2 linked regions of the Macaca fascicularis genome follow. The protein of the gene in region 2 purifies or fractionates together with the protein of the main gene of each other region. This does not show direct contact. Links are inferred from orthologs where the notes say so. Each region holds a gene or a part of one and is shown on either strand. Other genes may lie near its edges.

The links.
Region 1: the proteins of PIP4K2A (region 2) and UBE2H purify together in Homo sapiens (affinity purification with mass spectrometry; 3 studies listed by BioGRID and IntAct, with this or other methods). This does not show direct contact. The link is inferred for Macaca fascicularis from reciprocal best matches to the Homo sapiens genes PIP4K2A and UBE2H.

The regions. Positions count from the first base shown.
Region 1 is NC_088377.1:171,337,517-171,341,323, reverse strand, and holds part of UBE2H (ubiquitin-conjugating enzyme E2 H), read left to right. Parts: intron 1-973; coding exon 974-1,102; intron 1,103-3,807. UniProt on the Homo sapiens protein: Accepts ubiquitin from the E1 complex and catalyzes its covalent attachment to other proteins. E2 ubiquitin conjugating enzyme that transfers ubiquitin to MAEA, a core component of the CTLH E3 ubiquitin-protein ligase complex.
Region 2 is NC_088383.1:23,508,467-23,512,795, forward strand, and holds the start of PIP4K2A (phosphatidylinositol 5-phosphate 4-kinase type-2 alpha), read right to left. Parts: upstream 3,054-4,329; 5' UTR 2,772-3,053; coding exon 2,628-2,771; intron 2,562-2,627; exon of another isoform or gene 2,369-2,561; intron 1,726-2,368; exon of another isoform or gene 1,494-1,725; intron 1-1,493. UniProt on the Homo sapiens protein: Catalyzes the phosphorylation of phosphatidylinositol 5-phosphate (PtdIns5P) on the fourth hydroxyl of the myo-inositol ring, to form phosphatidylinositol 4,5-bisphosphate (PtdIns(4,5)P2). Has both ATP- and GTP-dependent kinase activities.

The sequences.
Region 1 (3,807 bases), on a different chromosome or scaffold from region 2:
CCAATTTCCTTGGAAGACTGAGGCTGGGAGGTTGGCTTGAGCCCAGGGGTTTGAAGTTGCAGTGAGGTATGATCACACCTGTGCATTCCAACTTGGGCAACAGAGTGAGATCCTCTCTCAAAAAAATCTTTTTTAAATAAATAAATGTAGTAGATTGGTGCTTATCTGTCTTATGAATATTTGTGGTTTTATGTGGTCCATGTAATTCCTATCCTCATTACCCAGAATAGTTGAAAAATTGGTTGTATTTACCTCCATTAGAAGTTGCAAGAATTGAATTAAATGTCAAGTCCTATAAAATTATGTTCAAGGCTGAGCACAGTGGTTCACACCTGTAATCCCAGCACTTTGGAAGGCCGAGGCTGGCAGATCACTTGAAGTCAGGAGTTCGAGACCATCCTGGCCAACATGGTGAAACCCCATCTCTACTAAAAATACAAAAATTAGCCAGGCGTGGTGGCAGGTGCCTGTAGTGCCAGCTACTTGGAAGGCTGAGGCAGGAGAATCTCTTGAACCTGGAGGCAGAGGTTGTAGTGAGCCGGGATTGCACCACTGCACTCTAGCCTGGGCAACAGAGCGAAAAAACAAAACCAAACCAAACAAAAAAAACTATCTTCAATTCTTTTAAGACCCAGCATTTGAATACCTTTCACAGTGGGGGGTTTTGTAAGCTGTAGAAAATGGCTATGTGAAATAGCCATAGAAATAGAGTGAAATAGAATTGGGAAAATTGTCTTTCAAAGTGAGTATCAGGTATATCTTTATCTCGTTCTTCAAATTAAAATTAAAAATTTTAATTGGTATTGAAATGAATGTGTAATACAGGTCACATGTACTAGAGCACACTTGTATGGAGAATCATCCCCATGTAGTTAAATATCTAAGAAGGTAAGCAGCTTGACTACTGAATGCAGGTGAATTTTAGGTGAACTTGTATTTCCTGTGCATGACATGTTTCTGTTTGGTTTTTCAGATCTTACCAATATATTTGAGTCCTTCCTGCCCCAGTTGTTGGCCTATCCTAACCCCATAGATCCTCTCAATGGTGACGCTGCAGCCATGTACCTCCACCGACCAGAAGAATACAAGCAGAAAATTAAAGGTAAGAGGGTGCATAGTTTACCTAGAGACAAAAGAACTTAAATCTGTTGGGCTTCAGTCATTAAAAGTCCTTCTTAAATTACTTAGTTCCTAATACTTTTTCTCGGGCCTAAAAAGAGACAGCTGTGGGCTGAAGTAGCACTCACCAACCTCGGGTGGTAGTAGCACCAGTTTGCTCATCCTTTAGGATTTAGAATCCTATTTTCCCATTCTTGAAACAGTTTACATGCTGATGGGATGTGAGTTTGATTTAAATGAAGATAAGTTTGCGAAAGAACATATAGCTGGCCATGGTGGCTCACACCTGTAATCCCAGCACTTTGGGAGGCTGAGGCGGGCGGATCACGAGGTCAGGAGGCCGAGACTAGCCTGGCCAACGTGGTGAAACCCCATCTCTACTAAAAGTACGAAAATTAGCCGGGTGTGGTGGCACGCGCCTGTAGTCCCAGCTACTCGGGAGGCTGAGGCAGGAGAATTGCTTGAACCGGAAAGCAGAGGTTGCAGTGAGCCTAGACTGTACCATTGTACTCCAGCCTGGGTGACAGCAAGATTCTGTCTTTAAAAAAGAAAAAAAAAAATCTAAAACTCCACCTGAATTCATTGGATTGTCCATTTTACCTCTGTTACTTTTCATAGTGAAGAGTCTAGATACATGAAGCTCCACCAAGAAGCAAAGGAATTCAAAGCGTATAATATACCTGCTGTTTTTAACCAATGGCAGGTATTAGTATCTAGCCCGTTTTTCACATGATGGGCCCGTCTGCATAGCAGTCCAGAATTCCTCAAAATGTGTGGCCTATCTGAGGTACATTTGCAAGAGGTGGCAGTAGAAGTAATTTACCAGAGCTTGAATGTGCAGGTCTTCACTCTGAAATGTGCAGGTATGAGGCAAACAGGGACTATTCATGAAACAATAGCTTTTCTTCTGTTTGTTTTCTAATTCTTCTTCCAAGGTCTCTATAGGGTATTGTTTGGAGCTTTTGTTGAGATAAAGCAGAAACAAATTTACTATAATTAGGTAGATCTCAAGTGCTTTGCAAATTAATATCTAATTTATGTAGCAAAATATATAGCTGAGCAAACATGTATTTGAAGAAAAAGGCAGTTTCAGCCAGATAAAGTGCTGTTATGAGACTGTATTAAAATTGCGAAATAGGAATCACTTAGCAATGTCTGCAAACCACAGATATCTTGGAGCAGAGTATATTTCTCTAGTTCACATATGCATTCCGTCTCAACAATTTAGCAGTAGCCCTGTTTCAGTACATATCTGCTATAGTCCCATTTACAAAAAGAACCCAGCCTGCATTTATCTTAGAATGGCTCACTCCAGGGTACGGACCCCCGGCCTTAGGAAATGTTCATGTTGGCTATCATTTTGTCTTTCTTAGAAATCTGAGAAAATCATGGCCATCAGACCTGAGCTCACCCCCAGTTCCTACTGTACCTTGATGTCTTCTCCCCTCCCCCTACATCTTTTCTTTGTTCCTGTGGGAAATAAGAGACACTCTTCCTCATTTCTCAAACTCACTCCCACCACCAACCTGTGATCTTGTTTCCCCAACCCCCCGCCCCTCCCAACGCAGTCTTCCTCCTGCACCTGCCAGAGGTCTCCCTGTTTCAGAAGCGGTGATCTGCTCCTGTGGGCTCCCTTAGGAGTCATGCTGTTTATTCCCTTTCATTTTCAAACTTGCATCCTCACCGTAAACTCCTCTAATTTTTTCCCCTCCTCTGCTTAATCTGTGCCCTCATTTCTTCCCAATCCTTTGGACTCTTCTCAGGTTCCATTTTGCTGGACCTCTCTGCAAGTGTTATATTCTACCCTAACCTTTCTGGAAAATTCTCATTCCGTTTCCTCAATGTGGTCATTCACTTAGGACTTGGTCCCTGGGCTCTGTCTCTTCCTCTCACCCCTGGGGACCTGCTTCACCTCTCACAGCTTAAGTCAGTCCCCTCCAGGGAGATGATTTCTCAATGTGTGTGTCTAGGCCTGGCCTCTCTCCCAAGCTGCTGCTGGACATTTCCATTTGTGTGGCAGTCACCACCAACTCAACACACCTAACACAGTCAGCGTTCATATTTAGTTGGCAGTGTCTTGTAGTGCATGTCTGAAAACGTGTTTAAATATTGGATAGCCCATAGCACTGGGCACCATTGGAGCTGTCTAAAGCTGTCACTTCCCTGCTCAGAACCCTTTGCTGGGTGACATCTTTGCCTGCCATTCAGGGCTCTCTGATACTGAGTGGAATCTACCTCTTTGCCTTTACTCCTTTTTTTTTTTTTTTTTTTTTTTGAGAAAAGGTCTCAAATATAGCTCTCCCTCTCTCTTTTTTTTTCGAGATGGAATCTTGCCCTGTTGCCTAGGCTGGAGTGCAATGGTGCGATCTCAGCCCACTGTAGCCTCTGCATCCCGGGTTCAAGTGATTCTCCTTCTTCAGCCTCCCGAGTAGCTGGGATTACAGGCGTGTGCCACTACGTCCGGCTAGTTTTTTGTATTTTTGTAGAGATGGGGCTTCACCATGTTGGCCAGGCTGGTCTCGAACTCCTAACCTCAGGTGATATACCCACCCTCCCAAAGTGCTGGGTTTACAGGCTTGAGCCGCTGCACCTGGCCATAGTTCTCTCTTAAGGTTGTGTTTAAGCATCCCAGCCACTTACTTTCAGCAAAGCAAAGCCTTTCCCTGGAGTGACCTCTGCTATGTCGTA
Region 2 (4,329 bases):
ATCCAAACAATCTCAGTTCACAGGTGCAAACACTGATGCCAAAACCTGACCTTAACATGCCCAAGGTCAACAGTTAAGAGTTTAAGAAAAATTTAAAGCGCAGATCCAATGAACGTTTTACCACAGGACGCGGAAGATGCTCATATACAACACCATGCTTGTTTGTTCTTAAGACTGCTGACGTTATTTATTCTCACATTATACTATAAACTTTGGTGCACAGAAGGTCATATAAAACCTTAGTAACACATTTACCTAATATCAGACACTGTCACCTAAAATGAAATCAAACCAGAAATACACAGCATCTAAGTGCTTAGATTTCATGTTTATATTACACCTCCATTCTTTTTTCAAAAATAATATACTAAAGAAAATACACATTTTGAAAAAGAAGGCTGTGAAACAGACCTTTCTTATGTCAACTCAGAGCCCTCAAAATAAAGATATTTGGACAAAAATATTAGAGGTGTTTTAGCAATCCTTCCCATAGTAGCTAACACTGTATGTGCCCAATATGTATCTGTTGAGTGAGTAACATGCTTACATTTATATGAAATGGAAACTTCACTCCTCTGGTTGTGGATACTTAGAATCGCTAACTTCTCTTGAGAGCAAAAGAAAAATAACACCAAATGTACTATTTACAAGTCATACACTACGAAGCACTTTAGTTAAATATTTCCAATTAGCAAGAAACTCTAAAACAAATGTAGCAATTCATAAATGTAAGGTAGCAACATAAGTTTTTACAGTAAAACATACACAAGTACAATATTTTTAAAGGCAAACTGGAATTCAGACGAGTTCCCAGAAAGCACACTCTCTTTCGGCAGCATATTGTTGACACCACCTTACTAAATTAAACCCCGAGACAGAAACATTCTCCTGACCAAAACACCAGAACTCCAAAGGAGATAAAGGCACATGAGTAATATGATATGAGTAAGCACTACAGTATTCGTCCTTTTTTAAATTATAAGTTTCTATTCTAGTAATAAGGGACCCAAAAACTAATAACGTAAAGAATAAAAAAGCTTAACAAAATTATACGTAACTCTACATTGTAAACGTATTACCTAGGAAAAACTGCATTTCATTTTCTGTAATAAAACTTGAGAGAGGAGTTTTTGGTGCAGTAATGCATGCTCTTGTAACAACTTACAGTCCCAAATAGCTAAAGAAGTTGTCAGGAAGTTACAATGAACTTCAGTGAATCAGTCATTAAGCTGGATAAAAATAATCACTTCTCAACTTCTTCAAAAACACTCACACCATGCAAACACGATCGATCCTGATACTGTTTCGCCCTTCCCCCTACGCAGCTTGGGGAAGAAAAATACAAAAACGATGCTTTTAGGCATTTTAAACAACTTCACTACATTGAGAGTGTGTTTTTTTCAAAAAGCCAGCATGGTTTTCTGTCATTTCCACTACGCTGAAAAGGACATATAGACATCCATCGAAATTAAAAGCAGGGAAAGCGGACTTACACTTTTCCCCAGATGCTAAGTGACTGCAGTGACTAAGGTCATGGTCAAAATTCACAGCTCATTTAAACTTTCCTGGCTGAGCCAACAGCTCCGATCATGTTTCCTGATCCTATCTAAGTGGATTAAAACTGCAGGAGTTTCTCGCTGTCAGATCAGCAGGAGGCTATTTCAGACCCTCAAACCGCAGTCCGCATAGCCCGCAGCGGCGCATCCTCCAACCCCGACTGTGCGTGACGCTAACCTTTCCACGCGTTCTTCTCTAGCCTTTCCCACACCCCCCACAGCGGCTGCGCCCAACTCGGGACCCCCTCCGCCCGCGCCCTCCGGGACCCCCGCCTGCTGTCCCTGCCCCGGCCGCCCTTCTGCAGTAGGCGACTTCTGCCCGACTCCTCAAAGTGGGGGGAGGCGACGAAGGGAGGAAGACTCCCCGCCAAGGGCTCTCCAGCCCGCACAGCGGCAGGGCGATGCGGGAGAAGCGCAGGGATGCCGCCCGACGCCAGAGCCATATTTACATCGGCTGCTGCTTTGCCAAAAGGCCGACTTGTGCCCAGTAATATTGCCTTTAAAGGAAAAAGAAAGGACCTAAGCACTAAAGCTGCTGCCCCAAATCTGCTCGCGCTCCGGTATCCTCGCCCCAGTGTCCCAGTGGGAGGTTCGCACGCGCCCAGCCCGGGACAGGTACACCTGCCCGCCGGCGGAGGACGCGGGCGCCGCGCCGCCCCCACACCGGGCAGCGGTCGCCGGGACCCGGCCCCCAGCAGCTCCCGCCCGGGCTGACAGCCGAGGCGGCGCCATGCCCCGCACAAACTTCCCACCTCCCAGGCAGCGGGGACCGACCCGCAGGCGGGCGGACTGTGGGGGGCACTGGCACCCACCGTGAGATCCACGTGCACACGGGACCCCCGTCCCGCACCTGGCCCTAGATCTAAAGGGGACGCAAGTGGTGCCTGGGCGGCCCGGAGGGCTGGGGGCAGACGCCGCGGGGCTGGGGGCTCCGAGGCAGGCGAACAGCCGGAGGGCCGGGGCTGGCTCCGGCTCCCCGCCCCGCAGCAGCTGCAGCCGGAGGAGGAGGGGAACGAGGAGGAAGAGGAGGAGGAGGAGGAAGGGGACCGCGCGCCGCAGCCGAGCCCTTACCGAGTGGTTTACTCCCCACATCAGGACGCTGAGCAGCGGGTCGCTGGCCCGAAACAGCTTCACTTTCTGCGCTACGAAGTGCTTCTTCTTGGTCTTGGTCTTGCTCGCCAGGACGGAGGACCCTAGGTTGCCAGGGGTCGCCATGGCCGCCTCCTATGTCCCCTCCACCGCCGCGCTCCCGAGGCCGGGGACCCGCCCTCTCTACACCCCGGCCCGGGGAGGCAGCCGCATCCCCCCGGCGGCGGCCCCGGCGCGCCGCGCTCCGCTCCGCCCGCCGCCGCTGCCGGCGCGCTCGGCCCCGCTCGGCTCGCTCCGCCCGCTCGGCCCGGCAGGCTGCGCTCGGCTCGCGCCCCGGCCCGTATCCCGCGCCCGCCGCGGCTCCGCGCTCAGCCCGCGGCTGGACCCGGCGCGCCGCGAGCGGCTTCCGCGTTGGGCGCCGGCGTCATGACGCAGGGGGCGGGCGGGCGGGAGGTGGCTGCGGCGCCGCGGGCGGGGCACTGGGTGCGGGGCGCGGGGCGCGGGGCGCGGCAGCTGGACCGTTAGGCTGTGCCCTCCCGCCCCGGCTTCGCTGCAGCCGGACCGCCGCCTGTGCGCGGGCGAGCTCCGGGCGTTCGCTCCCGGCCCGCGGAGGAGGCCGCGGGTTACGAGCGGGGAACCTGGGGACCCCGGCCGGGCGTCCCCTGCCGCTCCCCGAGGAGGGAGAGGACAGGGTGGACAGAGTGAGGAGGTTGGGCAGAGGAGCCCCCAGGTGTCGATCAGCTGAAGGAGGGAGGCTCACGCGCTCACCCACGCCACGAGTCAGGAGACCCAGCCAGGTGTGAAATGCTACAGGAGACTAGGGCTTCCCAGCACCGAGGGGAAGGACCGGGGCACGTTGCCGGGTCAGTCCCTGAAATGAACTTAATACCTTTGTGCCATTAACGGTCTGGCCTTTCAGACCCTCGATATGGGCCTCCTGGAATCATTCAAGAGGGAGACTCCCACCTAATAGGCTGGGCTGTCACTGCCAACCCACTCCGTGCCCGGGGCAGGACCCTGGGACCCTCATTGAGAGTCATTGGCTTAACCAGGAGAATCATGCCCTAAAGTGCACCTTCTTCCGATCCATCACTATGGTCCTTGCCATCCCTGCCTGTTTTCCAGTGCACTGACCGTCCATGGAAATCTTCACCGTCTTCCTCCAGATACACCTAAATGTAGCCCTTATTATGCTGAGAATACCTGGCCTACCTCAGGAAGCTGCCATTCCAAGTATGTCTAAAACCCTGCTGCCCCCATATCGTCCCTGCAGTCGTCATTCTGTGCTATGTATTTACTCTGACACAGGCCTCCAGTCCTCACTGAATAGGTTCTTGGAAACTGTCACCTTAAGCAAAACACCATATAACAAAACCAAATTTGCCATAGGCTGACATAAAAAAGAAAGCTTCCTAGAGCTTTCTTTCTGGTCACAAAAACATCACCGAACTTCGAAGTAAAGACTCAAAACACTTCTAATATTAAACATTAAAATAAATGTGAGCTATACCTCTTTTTTATTTTTATTTTTTCCCTTGAGATAGGGTCTCGCTGTGTCACTCAGGCTGGGGGTGCAGTGGTGCAATCACAGCTCACTGCAGGCTCCACTTCCCCAGACTCAGGTGATTCTGCCACCTCAGACTCCCCAGTAGTTGGGACTACAGGTGTGCACCACCGAGCCTGG